2 linked regions of the Saccharomyces cerevisiae S288C genome follow. Changing the gene in region 1 together with any one later gene gives a genetic interaction. Each region holds a gene or a part of one and is shown in the gene's direction. Other genes may lie near its edges.

Region 1 (11,112 bases):
AACAAAGTAATTGATGCATGTGGGCTGAAAAGAGACCTGGAGATTTTACCAGCAGGTGACCTAACAGAAATTGGTGAAAAGGGTATAACTTTATCAGGAGGGCAGAAACAGAGAATTTCCTTGGCGAGAGCTGTTTATTCGAGTGCTAAGCATGTCTTACTAGATGATTGTTTGAGCGCTGTCGATTCACATACTGCTGTATGGATCTATGAAAATTGCATCACAGGTCCACTAATGAAAAATAGAACCTGCATTTTAGTTACGCACAATGTTTCATTAACACTTAGAAATGCCCATTTCGCGATTGTGTTGGAAAATGGCAAAGTGAAGAATCAAGGAACTATTACAGAATTACAAAGCAAAGGGCTTTTTAAGGAAAAATATGTTCAACTTTCTTCTCGAGATAGCATTAATGAAAAGAACGCTAATAGATTAAAAGCTCCCAGAAAAAATGACTCTCAGAAAATCGAACCTGTCACCGAGAACATAAATTTTGATGCAAATTTTGTCAATGATGGCCAGCTAATAGAAGAGGAAGAAAAATCAAACGGTGCCATAAGCCCCGATGTTTATAAATGGTACCTGAAATTTTTTGGAGGCTTCAAAGCTTTAACAGCCCTGTTCGCTCTTTATATCACAGCTCAAATTTTGTTCATCAGTCAGTCTTGGTGGATACGACATTGGGTCAACGATACCAATGTACGAATAAATGCTCCAGGTTTTGCGATGGACACGCTGCCATTAAAAGGGATGACCGACTCTTCGAAAAATAAACATAATGCATTTTATTACTTAACCGTATATTTTCTTATTGGTATCATTCAGGCAATGCTAGGTGGTTTTAAAACAATGATGACGTTTTTATCCGGTATGCGAGCCTCCAGAAAGATCTTTAATAATCTGCTAGATCTAGTTCTACATGCCCAAATACGATTTTTCGACGTGACGCCGGTTGGTAGAATCATGAATCGCTTTTCAAAGGACATCGAAGGTGTTGATCAAGAATTGATTCCATACTTAGAAGTAACTATATTTTGCCTAATTCAATGCGCATCAATTATATTTCTCATTACCGTAATAACTCCTCGCTTTTTGACAGTCGCCGTTATCGTTTTTGTTTTATATTTCTTTGTGGGGAAATGGTACTTAACGGCAAGTAGAGAATTGAAAAGGTTAGATTCAATAACCAAATCACCCATTTTTCAACATTTCTCAGAGACCTTGGTAGGCGTTTGCACAATTCGTGCATTTGGCGACGAGAGGAGATTCATTTTAGAAAATATGAACAAAATTGACCAAAATAACAGAGCATTCTTTTATTTATCAGTTACTGTCAAATGGTTTTCTTTTAGAGTCGACATGATTGGCGCATTCATTGTTTTAGCATCAGGTTCTTTTATTCTGCTCAATATTGCAAATATTGACTCGGGTCTTGCCGGCATTTCTTTGACATATGCCATTTTGTTTACAGATGGTGCTTTATGGTTAGTTAGACTGTACTCAACATTTGAAATGAACATGAACTCTGTTGAAAGACTAAAAGAATATTCTAGCATTGAACAAGAGAACTATCTTGGCCATGATGAAGGCCGCATTCTACTTCTAAACGAACCATCGTGGCCAAAAGATGGAGAAATTGAAATTGAAAACTTATCTTTACGTTACGCGCCAAATTTGCCTCCTGTCATAAGAAATGTTAGTTTCAAAGTGGATCCTCAAAGTAAGATTGGGATTGTCGGAAGAACTGGCGCAGGCAAATCTACCATAATAACGGCATTATTCAGATTACTAGAACCAATAACCGGATGTATCAAAATAGATGGGCAGGATATAAGTAAAATTGATCTCGTTACATTACGTCGTTCCATTACTATCATCCCTCAGGACCCTATTCTATTTGCAGGTACAATCAAAAGTAATGTTGATCCATATGATGAATATGATGAAAAAAAAATATTCAAAGCACTTTCACAAGTAAATCTAATTTCTTCACATGAATTTGAAGAAGTGCTTAACTCGGAGGAACGCTTTAACAGCACTCATAATAAATTTTTAAATCTTCACACAGAAATAGCTGAGGGCGGCTTAAATCTGTCCCAAGGTGAAAGGCAATTGCTTTTTATTGCACGATCATTGTTACGCGAGCCAAAGATAATACTTTTGGACGAGGCTACTTCCTCTATTGATTACGATTCTGACCATTTAATTCAGGGTATTATAAGAAGTGAGTTTAATAAAAGCACAATTCTTACTATTGCACATCGTTTGAGATCTGTTATCGATTACGACAGGATAATTGTGATGGATGCCGGTGAGGTAAAAGAATATGATCGCCCTAGTGAACTGTTGAAAGATGAACGCGGTATATTTTATAGTATGTGTCGTGACAGTGGGGGCCTAGAGCTTTTGAAGCAAATAGCCAAGCAATCAAGTAAGATGATGAAATAATCGAATGTTTCTTTCTTTTATTCAAAGATGAGGATGAATATTATTTATTAAAAATGCAATAGTAGTCTATAAAATATTTATGTAGAAAAGGAAAAACTAACACAGACATGGCTTTTTCACCCATTCTGTGACAATGAGCCCATCATGCAAATAAGTGATTTTGGGTAAAAGTTTATAATGGAAGAATTTAGGTAGTAAAACGAATTTAACTAACCAGAAAAAGAAGCATGCAACTATTACCAGTAATGACATGATTTGGTAGGGCGGCAGGAACCCAACTCTGTTTAGGCTAGGGTCGGCAAAGAATGGTGCCATCAACATGTATAATGATAATGTAATAATGGCTAATACTCCAAAAGTAGATGCACGAATCTCTGGGACTTCGTTCTTGTGTTTGAACCTCCAAATAAAGAGCCCAATAGCGACCAATAATAAGAAAAACTGATTACCATAACCATCCATCGATACCAGATAATTGAAGGATTCGCCCTCTTTGGGTAAAATCAATATCCAAGCAATGGTTATAAAGCCACATAAAGAAATAGATGGTAGAGGTGCATCAAATGGCCAATTTTTGGACATATGAATACTGAATGGTAAATAACCTTCTTTGAATATTTCCTGGTTAACTCTTGATATACTGTAAATGACAACCAGAATATTAGATGCTGCAGAAATGGCGATAGAAAAAGCAATGAATTTGCCACCAACTCTGGGTCCGAAAAGTTTGGTAAACAACACGGAACCAACCAGGGGGCCTGCACTAACAATTTCCTCATATGTCAAAACTTTCAAGTATGCCACATTCATCATTGTGTAGCAGACAAAACAAATTATCAACGATAAGGGACCTGACACCTTCAACGTCTTAACGGGATTCTTAATTTCTGATGTAACTGTGTGAACTGTATCCCATCCAGAAAAACAAAAGAATGAGCTGATAAAGGCAGTAGCAATAGAGGACACCGACAGGAGAGAATCTTTCTCAACTTGGGTTACTGGGAGGTCCCAGGCAACTTGACCGGTGCTTTTATAAAAGAAAAGCGTGTATAGCCCGGCAAAGCACATCAAGACAATCATGATCAACTTCAAACCACCAAGTGCGTTCTGTATAAACACTCCGTGCCTTACAGAGACACCGTGAATGAGAACGGCAAATATTATAAATGATATGCTGACGTACTTGGACCACGAATCATCCGTGACTCCAAATGCGCTCAACACGTATTTACCGAAGACGATAGATCCCGTCAATGCATAGCCAGTTAAAACACTGTAACACGAAAACACCACACTAATTAATAGTCTGGGTCTTTCAAAACTCCGTTCGAGGAAGTTTTTACGTCCACCTGATTTCGGTATCCAGGAACCAAATTCTAGAAAAAGATACAATCCTGCAAAAGCGATCGCAGCGCTAAAAACCCAGATCGCAAAATATATCAGCTTATTACCACCTGTATTCAGTAAAATCACACTGGGTACTGCAAATATACCTGACCCCATTATCCTCGAAACAAATAACACAACCGTGGAGAACACACCTAAATGTCTTCCCTGTGGAACTTCCATGAATCTTGCCGTCTCTGCCTTTATCGCCTGCGCTTCCACAGTATCCATCGAACTGAATGATCCAGTATTTGTGGAACCATATTTTGTGGTAATATCACCAACTTCCACATCTATGAAAACATCTTGAGAGGGATTTGCTTTCCCACTATTAAAAAGCAGCGGTTCCATTTTTACTTATTTTGAGCACTGTACGTCTACGTTGCCCTCAGCAACTTAGACTACAAACAGAATGTACAGATCATCGATAAGCATCCAGGTCTTTATATGTGTATTGTTTTTGCCCCTTGACTCAGGCAGGCCTCTAATCTATATGATTGATTTGTCATATATATGCAGCGACGCCACAGTTTTTTCCGGCAAGAGTCGCGTGATCTTTTTTTCTAATCCAATCTGTGAACATACTAGAGGAAACTTCTACCTTTTCTACCTGAATTACATTATCAACACTTTTGCACCAAAAAATCGTGGTACTAGGAGATGCAAACCTTTTGGTCTCCACATCAATTGCAGGAAAAAGATTGACTGTTTGCATGTGCAATTATCTTATATATTATGTAAAAATAAAAGTAGGAAACGCCACATGGATGCGCATGCCATAACCCTTGCATGGTTAGCACACGCCCTCACGTGAGTGAATTTGCCAAAATGATAGTCAAATGTGTTGATAGTTCGATAAGAGGTGAAGTTGGGGAACTAAAGGTGGAATAGAAAATGATAAAACAAAGGAAAGAGTGAAGATTGCCGCCGAGTAGAATCCAAGATTGGTGTGTATGGGTGTATTTAGTGAAAGTTCAATTGCATTGAAGATGACAAATTATGCTTAAGTGAATGGACAATGAAGGCTTCTCTTGAAGGAGTAAGGCTGCGCTGAAGGAAAGGTTTGAGACAGAGTGACCAAAATGGTGAATTGGCAAACATTGTTCATGGTCTCATTGAGGAGACAGGGCAGTTCCTCTCGTTACAGGTATAAGTTCAACATGGAGAATATCACACATCAGGTGTTCCCTCGCTGTAAGCAAGCGTTTAAGAAGACAAACTTATCTTATGAATATTGTGATCTTGAAGGAGTACTGTATAATATTTCACTCACGGACTTGCAAAAACTGCTATTACGTGATATAAACGCCCCTCGCGAACACGCATTCAAGATTGTTAGAACAGATCTAACTCAAAAATCCTCGAAGAAGAGGATCCAACACTGGGAACGGATTGCGCCTATGTTTGACCACCCCTTAAGTCTCTACGAGAAGTTGTTCAGCGAAATGGATGAGGACTTCAAGCCATCTTTCGAGTGGCAACAATTAATAAGGGTACGATGCAAAGATGATAAGTTGAAACTGCAGCGTGTAATTTGGCCTAAGTCGATATTTTCAAACTTTTGTCGGGGAATCGGGGTTAAGAAGAGCACTTACGATAGACTCTTGGAACAAAATAATGGTGAGGTACCCATGTTTGTAAACCCAGCTAATGCAAAGCCCTTGCCTCTTTTCCAGGTTTCCGATGAGGCGATGATTGGGGAATTCGATGGAATTGGTATTTTCCCTTACTTTGTAGATAAACATAGAGAATTTTTCGTTACTGAGGTAGACAAATTGAAGACCAAGATAGCTTCGCCACTTTGCACCTTGAATGAACGAAAGCGCATTGAGAAGGCTAACGCTGGTCGGATACTGGCGAACGAAGAGGGTAAACCATTCTATCTGGATGCAAACAGTGCCACAACTCGAATCGCTGGTGGTAATGTCGTCACTTTGAAGCAACTTTTAGAAAGATCGGTTAGCCATAAGACATTGTGGAGCAAACAATCAAACAAAGACAGAACGTGCCCTGGAGACATTTTAAGAGCTACAATATTATCAAACGACTTCTCCATCCGGCAATTGAGGGCTGAATTTTGCAAAAATTTCATTCTCTACAATATATTCACCATTTTACAACGTAACAAGAAAAGCATCCGTTCCTTCTCTGGTAACGATAATGCGCCTTCCTTTCAATTTAGTTGGAATGTTTGGGACTCATATATATGGAAGCAATATCAAGAGACCGAGTCCATGAAAATACCCACGGACCAAGCTTCTCTGATCAACTACAAGACAAAATACGACTCTTTTCTTCATGACCTACAAACATATTCCGCACTGGTAATTTCAGAAATGAAATGGAACCAATTCTCTATTTTCCAAAATGATGAAACGACTTTATCAAGATTTGAACACATCACATTAATTTTGCAAACCGTGCTGACAAAATCGAAAATGATTAGAATTTTCCAGCCAAACTTGTACAAGTTTATGCAAGATGATTTAAGACCAACTTTAATGGAGTTGGTGGGTTTCACTGAGTCAATAAATGCAACAATAGAACCTGGTTTTGCGAATGAACAATCGCTACAATCTGCAAACGGATTAAAGAAATTGGCCAACCAACTTTTATACTTCGAACAGGAAATATATGGCGAAAAGTTCCGCGTAAATAGGCCCATCCAGCTTCGTCCAATAACATTATCAGCAAACTACAAAATTGTTATTCTGGATAAGAAGAACGCCATACCCGAAATATTTCAAACCCTACTGAAATTCATGACACAAATAACGACATATTTTGTTAAAGATTTGTCGGAGGTAGAACTTCATGGGCACATGCATTGTATTGATAAAAAAATGCTGGACAAGTCGAAATTCATGTATTTATACGAAGAGAAAAGCAACGAGGAAGTGAAAGCAGCTTCTCCTCAAAAGGAGAAGATAGTAGATAATATCATTGGCCTATTATCAAATGATGAAGAACATTAACATGAATTGGAAAAAGAAAAAATTGCATGTAAATATATACATACGTAGAATTTTATACTTAGGCTACAGATCAAAGCTAAATCTGTAAGTCGTATGCCTTCTTCATTAGAAATATAGGCTCTTTATTTGATTTCCTGATCCAAACCAATCTATCAATCGCAGTATCTGCCACAATGAACTGTCTTATGCCCCAATCACCGACACTATAAATTTCTGGAATTCTCTCCGATAAATTAGGGAAGTATTTTTTATAGAACGGCAAAAACTCCATAACATCTTCTTTTTCAATGACAATTGAATCACTAACTTCTTTGAAGGTTTGTTTAATGAAACCTCCCTGATTATTACTTTTATCGTTGATTAATTTGACTATCCAGAGCAACAATGCGTCATTAAGACAGTCTTTTGTGATCAAATCTTCGTAATTTATAGCACCAAATACCAGTAAGAGAGAATTGGCAAATATTTTGTCGTTTTTAAAAATTGTCTTGAATGACAGAGAAAACTCCTTATTATTGCTATATATTTTTTTTTGTAAAACGGACAATTTCTCAGTAGTGGCGTTCAGAATTTTTTTGTTATCTTGATAGTATAGTTTGATTAGTTTAATAACATGAGGGCGTAATTTTTGAGTCGAAGAAGTTTTAATTTTAAAATTCTTATAAAACAGCAATCTCTGGGATACTACAGATGTTAATTGATCAATACCTTCCAATACGCTCCTTACGGTTGGAGTTTCTTCAGACTTTAATTTACTTAGGTAGGCAAATAACGCTAGTAGAACCGGTGGTAATGGTTCAGAAATTTTTAAACTAAATTGTAAAATGGTAGTTTCTCCATCGTCAGTAACAAAATTACCTGATTTGTTAAAATCCACGGGCAAACCGCTAACTAAGGTGGATGGTAGCTTTAAAGTCAACCTAGAGAAGTCAAACTTATTCGAGGAATCCCAAAACCCGTAGTTTAACAAACATTTTTCATTAGAAATATTACCATAATTATTAAACAATTCATCCTGTGCACTAAATGTGGTAGTCTGCGACATGAAACAAAGTTCATTTTGTTCATTCATCTCCCATCTTACTGGTACATCGTTTTTATGGTTTAATAAATCTACTATTGGATACAAAAATCCTTCGTTCAGATTGGTGCGGTCTGTACCGGCCCTGCCTAAAATGACACGAGGAAATGCCCTAGAATTAAAGATGCAGTACGACCAAAGATACGCCACGAACGAGTTCCATTCCGAATCTTCTAGTTTACATCCATTGATGTGTGCGCAGAACTGTTCCAACGGCACTACGGCAGAGTCTTTATTCTCCTGGAATAAAGACAAGAACTGCTTATCTTGAGAAGAGTGTTCAATAGATAAAGCTTGGAACAGCATCCTCCACTCCTTTACTAGTTTGTTCAGCGTATCTCTCATAGTTAAGTACACGTCTGTACCATGCAAATTCATGACTTCATCAGTAGACCAAAAATATGGTTGTGGAAGGTGCAAGGGTAGCACATCTAAATATGGTTTGTAAAAGGATTTCAGGTGAACTGCATCGGTGCCAAATTTCAACTTTGACAAGTACAACTGTGTCACGGAATTCAAAAGACTCCTTTCATTAGCAGCCTGGGAAAATTCTGATAAAGCTTGCTGGGAAGTGATCAGCAGAGTTTCGGGTACCCTAATCAAAGCTTGGTCGGGTTTGGGAGAGAATTTTTCGTTTACAAATGCACTAACACCAGCATCCTCTGTAATCCTAAAAGAGATTTTCGGATCGATGAAGGCTCCATTATTTTGAGCCCATTGTAAGCAGTTATCTAGCTCAGTTTGGGTGATCATGCAGAAGTTCGTTAATTAAATGACGAGGTAGCTTCACCAAGCTTGATTCCTTAGTCTTTTTTACTTCCATCATTTCTTCTTTGTTGGAATGGTCAAGTTCAAGTTGAAAAATTTTCTTTTTCATAGTCAACTCATCGCAGGCACATTCGCCTTGAACGAACAACGAGCAGGACTCCAATAGAATAATAGTAATAGATTACAGGCCTATACAATCAAGACAACTATCAAGGTGGGGAGGGTTTCCACCTGTAACTTCCGCTGACTAATGATACATATTATCTGATCGGAAGCCAATGAAAGATCCCCTAAATATCACGCATGTAAGCGACCGCGATGAAGCGTACTGGCAGCTCTATCACGAAGCGATGGAAAAATACACCTGCGAATGAAAATCCATCAACAGAAATGAGAAGACAATTGTATATTATCATTAACGTTCATCTTTAGGACTTGTTCTCTTACGAAATTTGTGTGCCTGTATTTGTTAGAAAGCCACATATGTCTTGGCCTTTTTCACTTCTTTCCTGTTTGGGATTGCAAATTTATCAAAATGCACCCATAAAAGCAGGTGTGATATAACAAGCACATATCGTTAGGAAAATAGTGTCAAAGAGAAAAAAAGGCCAAGCAAATCGGAGTACAGTTTACATGAAGTAATGCAAGATGCATAGAACTGAAGATTTCAGGAATAATTGTATATAGGGGAGGAAACATTCGATAGCTCTCTTTTTGCTTTCGTTCACTATATCTCTTGTTTTCTTTCTTAAAAATATATGGACAGTAGTTCAAGCCACTGCATAGCAACGTACTAATGGAGTCTGTTCACTCTCGCGATCCTGTTAAGGAGGAAAAGAAACATGTCTTCATGGGAATGGAACACGAGTTGAATCCTGAGACTCATAACGATTCCAACTCCGACTCATATGGTCTCCCTCAGTTATCTGAAAAATACAATGCCTTGAGACAGAACAGGAGCCTAATTATCCAGCAGACTGAAATCATTGGCTCTGCTTACAATAAATGGTACTTACAAGCGATTTTACTTTTGAGTGCTTTCATATGTGGCTACGGTTATGGACTGGACGGTAACATCCGTTATATTTACACTGGTTACGCCACATCATCCTATAGTGAGCATTCTCTGCTGTCTACAATCAACGTCATTAATGCTGTGGTCAGTGCCGCTTCGCAAATCATATACGCTAGGTTGTCTGATGTGTTTGGTAGACTATACCTTTTCATTAGTGCTGTCATCCTATATGTTGTGGGTACAATTATTCAATCACAAGCTTATGATGTTCAAAGATACGCTGCAGGTGCCATTTTCTACAATGCTGGCTATGTGGGTGTAATCCTTATTCTTTTGATTATCCTATCCGATTTTTCATCTTTAAAGTGGAGACTGCTGTATCAATTTGTCCCGACTTGGCCTTTTATCATCAACACATGGATTGCTGGTAATATCACTTCCAGAGCCAATCCTGTTGTCAACTGGTCTTGGGATGTAGGTATGTGGGCTTTCATCTTTCCCCTATCATGTGTTCCAATCGTTTTGTGTATGTTGCACATGCAATGGAGGGCCAGAAAGACTCCTGAATGGCACGCTTTGAAGGGCCAGAAGTCCTATTATCAAGAACATGGTTTTATTAAGATCTTAAAGCAATTATTTTGGATGTTAGATGTCGTTGGTGTCCTTTTGATGGGTTGTTCCCTAGGTTGTATCTTGGTCCCACTGACCTTGGCTGGTGGGGTCAAAACTACCTGGAATGATTCAAGATTGATCGGCCCCTTTGTTCTTGGCTTTGTTTTGATCCCTATCTTATGGATTTGGGAATATCGATTCGCTAGAGATCCAATTCTTCCATATAGGCTGGTCAAAGATAGGGCTGTATGGTCTTCTATGGGTATTTCTTTCCTGATTGATTTTATTTACTATATGGCCGCTGATTATTTGTACACGGTTATGATTGTTGCCGTCAATGAATCCGTTAAATCTGCAACCAGAATTGCCACATTATCTTCATTTGTCTCTACTGTGGCCTCTCCATTTTTCGCTTTACTTGTAACAAGATGTACGAGATTGAAACCATTCATAATGTTTGGATGCGCGCTATGGATGGTGGCTATGGGTTTATTGTACCACTTTAGAGGTGGAAGTCAGTCCCATTCAGGTATTATTGGTGCATTATGTGTCTGGGGTGTGGGCACTACTTTGTTCACTTACCCAGTTACCGTCTCTGTACAATCTGCCGTCTCTCATGAAAACATGGCGACAGTTACAGCTTTAAACTATACCCTCTATAGAATTGGTTCTGCTGTCGGTTCCGCAGTTTCCGGTGCCATTTGGACTCAGACTTTGTACAAACAAATTTTGAAGAGAATGGGTGATGTTGCTCTAGCCACAACTGCCTACGAATCTCCATATACTTTCATTGAAACCTATACTTGGGGTACCCCACAAAGGAATGC
Region 2 (5,974 bases), on another chromosome or scaffold:
CTTATTTCGGATTCGATTTCAATAAAGATCGTAGTATTAGAAGTATAGAATGTATTGTAATTTTTTTTCCTAATCTTATTAATTCATGGAAGGCATTGAACTCAACAGCATATTTTAAATGTTTGTATCTTGTTTTCTCTTTCAAAAAAAAAATGGTGTCATTCATTATTTTATGGTCAACCCTATACATCAATTTTTCTCTGAAAATATTGACAAATAAAGTAGTTGATTCTTGTTCTACCAATTAGTGATATTATGCATGACTGTTAACAACTTTTTGACTAATCTCTGAAATCATATGAAGATCTTGCTGCATTTCATGCATCTAAGAAATCAACCTATATCAACAGATTTCAATAATTACTCTAAACTTATGCTGTAACTTAGAAAGTAACCAGCCTGTGTTGACTGATTGAGTTGCGTATTAACTGCGCCTAGTCATTTCAACACTTATAATTTGCTTCAGCTTAAGTGTGGTTCATCTTTTTTTTTCTGGAAACTTTGCATGCCCTCAAAGCATGAGTAGTTAGTTATCTTTTTGACAATGATCTCTTTTGAAAATATCTACTGTAGATTTGCATGGACGCACGTCGCCCATACGCCAAACTTTGGCAATGATACTCGTTATTCGTAATATCAGTCCGTCAAGGTGCTGTGATTTCTCTATTTTATATTGCCTATTATTTTTTCAAATGATTTGAGCCGTTTTAAATTGAGTATGCAATGAGTCTTTTGAATCAACCGTAAGGCAGTTCCATAACCACTGCCACGAATACGTTTCACTACCTTGAAGAATCTCTAATGTAGGCCGTATTCTTCGCACTTAGTTCTGACGATGTAGACATCTCATTATATAAGAGCATAAGCGCCTGTTTCTAGAATCATTTCTTCGTGACCCAGCTTTTTGAGTTATTTCGCGGTATTTTGAAACATTTCTCGAGCTTGACGTGAACATCCTTATATTTCATGACAAACTCGATCATTGGAACATCCCTGCCTCGATTTTAGAGCTAGTATCAAATTTCAATCTCTTTGTGATGGAGCCCCGCTCCTATTTCAAAAGAGAAGTTTCTTGTATGCATATGTTATTGAAGTCTGATTATAGCAAGTGCAATGTCGTCTCAATTATTTTAACTATTTTTAGCCATACATGTTAGTTATCCTCAAAGAGAGCCTCCAGACTGGGAAGCAGTGTTTGTCATTTCAAATAAGTAGATTTCACAGTTTGTATGATTTTCGAAGCCAGGATTCATTGGGCTTTGAGTAAAGAGAAGCCGCGTATTACGAACAGCTTACGATATTGTAAAATATTCCCTTATTGTGGTGCCCCAATGGATACATGCCAGAGAAATGTCTGTGAAATTGAACAATTACAATGACGAGAGCAAGTAATCCGGCGGCCTTGTCTCTCTTTCACTAGTACCGTCTATATCTCTTGAGCGCCAATATGCGAAAGCTTTCACAAGGTTGATGTTCATGGTATTCGGCGTCGATAGCGAATTGCTTACTAAGAAACATTAGGGTGCAGTACAGCCTTGTTTTTCCAGTTCGACTAACCTTTTTCTTGGCAGTATGGAGACTGACTAGGTCTCCCAAACATTCATTGTAACTGCTGTTTAAAGATTTTGTTCTAACCTAAATTCAAGTGAGAAGCTGAACATGTGTCTCTACTTATGATATCACGACAGCAAATACTAATCTTGCCATAAATAGTCTAGCGTTTTGCAACTTACCTCTAGATATATTTTATTTCTTGAGGAACCGTTTTCGTCGGTAATAACAAAATACTACTGAAACGCCACAGCATTGAGAGAATACGTTATCGATTACGGCTTTCTTCTCGCTCCAGATGTCGCGGGTAAGATATTCACCTCAAACTTTTCTTGTTGAGTGTCGTCACAAATCTAGAACCTACATGCCATCTCAACGATTTTTCTGGAGAAAGGCCTCACTCCGTTCCGTACGTAATGCATAGATAAAGTATCAGGATCTTCACGATGCTCGAGAGTTACTTAGTAGTCTGAGTTTATGCGAAAAAAACTCCGCCGTTGTAATAATCGGGAATACACAGAAGTAGTACTGCACTATCACTGGGATACTCAAAAACCTTCTTTTTAACTTTTCTATCCCACAAATAGAACATAGGAAAGAACATTGACTCCTCCACTTGAAGTTAAATTACAGGAACAAACGCCTAACTATAATTTCGACATTGTTGCATCAACGAATCGACCGAAAGAAAAATCTGGAGTTGCAGTTATCACTTGTATGTGCACTAAGATTTATATTTTTACTCCTGAGATCTGCCAAATCGGTAGCTTATTGAACTGCGTTCCTTTTTCCCCTGAGTTCTCGAGGTACCTGCGGCTTTGTCTGTGCCATCTCCCCCACTTTAAAGTACCCCACGTTACTACCGCGTTTTTCCCCACCCCCGGCTTAATAAATTAGCTATATCTTGTTGACTTAAATACGGAGAAAAGAAGAAAACCTTCAAGAAATGCTTCATTGTCTTGTCAAAAGAGCTAAAGTAAAAGAGCTCTAGTTCGAAGATGGCCCGCAATAGACAAGCGTGCGACTGTTGTTGCATTCGTCGAGTAAAGTGTGATCGTAAAAAACCATGTAAATGTTGTCTTCAACACAATCTGCAATGTACATATCTTCGACCTTTGAAGAAAAGAGGTCCAAAACCCGTCAAGGTGAGAAATTTAAAGAAAGTAGATGATGTACAGGTATTTAGTAAAAGTAGTAGTGGTGGCATAATGAAGGTTCCAAAGGCACTAATTGATCAGTGTCTGCGGCTCTATAATGATAAGTTGTATGTGATCTGGCCTTTGCTGTGTTATGATGATCTTTACGAACTTTTAGAGAAAAGATATGACGAAACCTGTGTGTATTGGTTCCTGGTATCTCTTTCTGCCGCCACGCTTAGCGATTTGCAGACTGAAATTGAGTCGGAAGGAGGGGTTACCTTTACTGGGATACAGTTATCCAGTTTCTGCATGTCATCACGCCAAGAATTTGACGATTTTAACGGTAGTGATATATTCAAGATTATGACGTACTATTGTCTAAACCGCTGCTACGCACAGATGTCCAACTCAAGAACTTCGTATCGGCTTTCTTGTGAAGCCGTGGGGCTCATTAAGTTGGCGGGGTTCCATCGCGAGGAAACTTTGAAACTTCTTCCTTTCGATGAGCAGCAGCTTGGAAGGAAAGTTTATTATTTGCTTCTCTTAACGGAAAGATACTTTTCTGTGTATACGCATTGCGCCACGAGCCTGGATACCACGATTGCTCCACCACAACCGGAGAACGTAACGGACCCCCGACTATCTCTCGACAGCTTCTTGGAGATGATTAGGGTATTTACTGTACCGGGAAAATGCTTCTTTGATGCTCTAGCTACCGACTCTGCTAATGTAACCTGTACTGAAGACTCCCTTAAAAAGATATGGAGGGAACTTCATACGGTGCCACTTGAGATAGAACCATGGTCTTACGGCTATGTAGACATATCTTTTTCACGGCATTGGATTAGAACACTTGCTTGGAAGCTAGTGCTTCAAATAAGCGGTATGCGAATCAGTTTCCTTTCAAATAGCAAGAATACGCATATTCCAGTAGAAATTGCTAGAGACATGTTAGAAGACACATTTTTAATCCCAAAAAATCTTTATGCAGTTCACGGTCCAGGGATATCAGTGAAAGCACTAGAAATAGCCGACGCATTGGTAGATGTTGTGAATCAGTACGATCAAAATGCAGAGTCGGAGGCTTGGAATTTTTTGTTCGATATATCCAAATTTGTCTTCTCTCTTAAGCATTGTGATAGCACATTAGTTGATAAGTTTACGACAAAGTGTCAGTGTGCGCTTATCACGCTTCCTCTTTCTAATCCGCTTGAATCGACAGATGGTTCTAAAGAAGATGTAGATGCGCTTCCTTAAGTAAACACATTGCTACTTGCATTTTACCTTTCAAGATGTAGTGATTACGGACAGTTGAAGAGGCTAATAGCATCTATTTCTTCTTTAGTATATGGTTCCTGCAGGGCAAACAATTATTTCCTTTGCAATTTTGCGGCAGTGGGGAAGAATGATAGCACTAATAGTGAACTTGTGGACAATTATGCTATTATAGCAAGAAAAAAAATTTATTTTTTTTTCAAGGGGGGTGATTGTGATGTGAATTAAATCAAGGATATACGCTTTTATCGTCATGATAGTCGTGCGATTTGTACTTGGTTATAGATGAAATGAGTTAGTTTTTAATAATTGTGATCACAATATAGCTGTACTTATCAGGCCATTAAAGTTTCCTGTAAGGTGCACGAGAAGTCATGGTCATAAAATTATCAGAATCTCCAAGGAGAGGTTCAACGGCGTCGGTTGCCCATACTCCATATTAAGTACCCTGTCATTTCCACAGTTACATTAGTTGGAGTAGTATAGAAACCAAAAAGATCAGAACTCCAATAGGCAGTATTTGGGTCACAGTATTCAGTGTCACGTTTTTTAGTTTCATAAAGAGGTCCGCAAGGATCATATCCATCCTCATCACGCTTCAAAACTGCATAAGTCACACAGGTAGGAGTGCTCTCACAAGGCGGACTATAGTATATGGAGAGATTGGTCTGTCCGCTAACGGAACCTAACTTCTTTGTATTGGAGTATTCATAGCCCATATATTCAGGCTCCAAGTATGTGGTTTGGTCGCCTATTGTGTACTCATAAAAATTAATATTCATACCATCTTCCCTTTTGTTTGTTGGTAAGCAAGCTTCTGTACTGGCTAAGGTTGTAGTAGCTAGCGCCACGAAGACCAAGAGTGCCGAAAATACGGAATGGGGTATAGACATTTGAAGGTGTGGAGGGATGCTGGTATCCTCCAATTGTTACATTAAGATTATCATCTGGCTATCATGAAATGAAGGTTACCTTTATATAAGAAAGACTTTTAAAAAAATGTTTTGTTTTCTGCTTTAGGGAAGTAGATATCGTTCCTGCATTTTGATATCAAAATAATCTCCGGTAGGCATCAATTGCAGTTAAAGCTCTTTCTGGCAAAAACCCCGATACCCATGTAGGTACGCTCTTTTCACCAGGTCTTAATAATTTGATGGGCACCGTTTATCCCAGGCAAGCCAAAAATTAGAAACAAAAAACAACTCACGTACGTTAAAAAACCTGATAGTGCTTCGTACTACATAGAACCCTGCGCTGTTATCTGCTAATCGAGCACTACTAAATTCCCTCCAAAGGAAGTAGAGTATAGATTCTATGCACCGATGTGAAAATAGTAAACCTACGATAACCTTTTTTTTTTTACTAACCGAATTGAGCAGATATTGTTACCTGTTACGGTCATAAAAGTTAAACGATTTTGCTTTATTTCTGTCCCTGGCTGAAAATAGTAAAGAAGAGGGAAGGCAAGTTCAAGGGCAGCTTAATAAGTCATACGAAAACGTTCTCGAACTTTTTTTCTGCAAGCTTTTCAGAACCACGATGGAAAAAAGAAATTTTTACAACACTAATGCCAAGTAAGGTTTTTCGGATTTAGGGTGGCGTCCTGAAAAAAAAAGAAACGTCTCAGAACGTTTCGGAGAAAAAAAAATAAGGTGTCAAATTTCTTAGTGTTTTGACGGGTGATGCCCTTCCAGATAAATCTCGTGGAGATTGGCTAGCGTCAAACGTCACCGATCTCTATTTCTTTTTTAGGTTATTAAATTTCGATTACATCGCGTGTTCTTAGATAAGTTACCAAGGGTGCTCAAAGGAAAATTATATTTCTTTTTTTCTTTTGAGTAATTGCAGGTGAAGAGATACAGAGCAAGGAACGTGATGTAATGCATTTTTTTTTTTGTTCCTTGGAACCACATGATTTACTCAACAAATTAATCTAGTTTGTGCTTCAAGCATGCACCATTGTGAATATTTTTTTAGTTTCAAGGTGACAGGTTATGAAGATATGGTGC

The links. A genetic interaction does not mean that the proteins touch.
Region 2: mutations in CBP2 (region 1) and ZNF1 together harm fitness more than expected from each alone (negative genetic interaction), as found in Saccharomyces cerevisiae (one large-scale study listed by BioGRID).

The regions. Positions count from the first base shown.
Region 1 is NC_001140.6:19,314-30,425, reverse strand, and holds CBP2 (Cbp2p), read left to right. Parts: upstream 1-4,916; coding exon 4,917-6,809; downstream 6,810-11,112. Other genes in the region: putative ATP-binding cassette multidrug transporter VMR1, read left to right, coding at 1-2,448; MUP3 (Mup3p), read right to left, coding at 2,545-4,185; YHL037C (uncharacterized protein), read left to right, coding at 4,247-4,648; EFM1 (protein-lysine N-methyltransferase), read right to left, coding at 6,886-8,643; ARN1 (siderophore transporter), read left to right, coding at 9,455-11,112. UniProt on the Saccharomyces cerevisiae protein: Appears to be specifically required for the splicing of the terminal intron (bI5) of the cytochrome b pre-mRNA. Can also stimulates the splicing of the omega intron of the precursor of large ribosomal RNA.
Region 2 is NC_001138.5:25,683-31,656, forward strand, and holds ZNF1 (DNA-binding domain containing protein), read left to right. Parts: upstream 1-2,549; coding exon 2,550-3,947; downstream 3,948-5,974. Other genes in the region: YFL051C (uncharacterized protein), read right to left, coding at 4,376-4,858. UniProt on the Saccharomyces cerevisiae protein: Transcription factor that regulates respiratory growth and plays a critical role in stress adaptation during non-fermentative growth.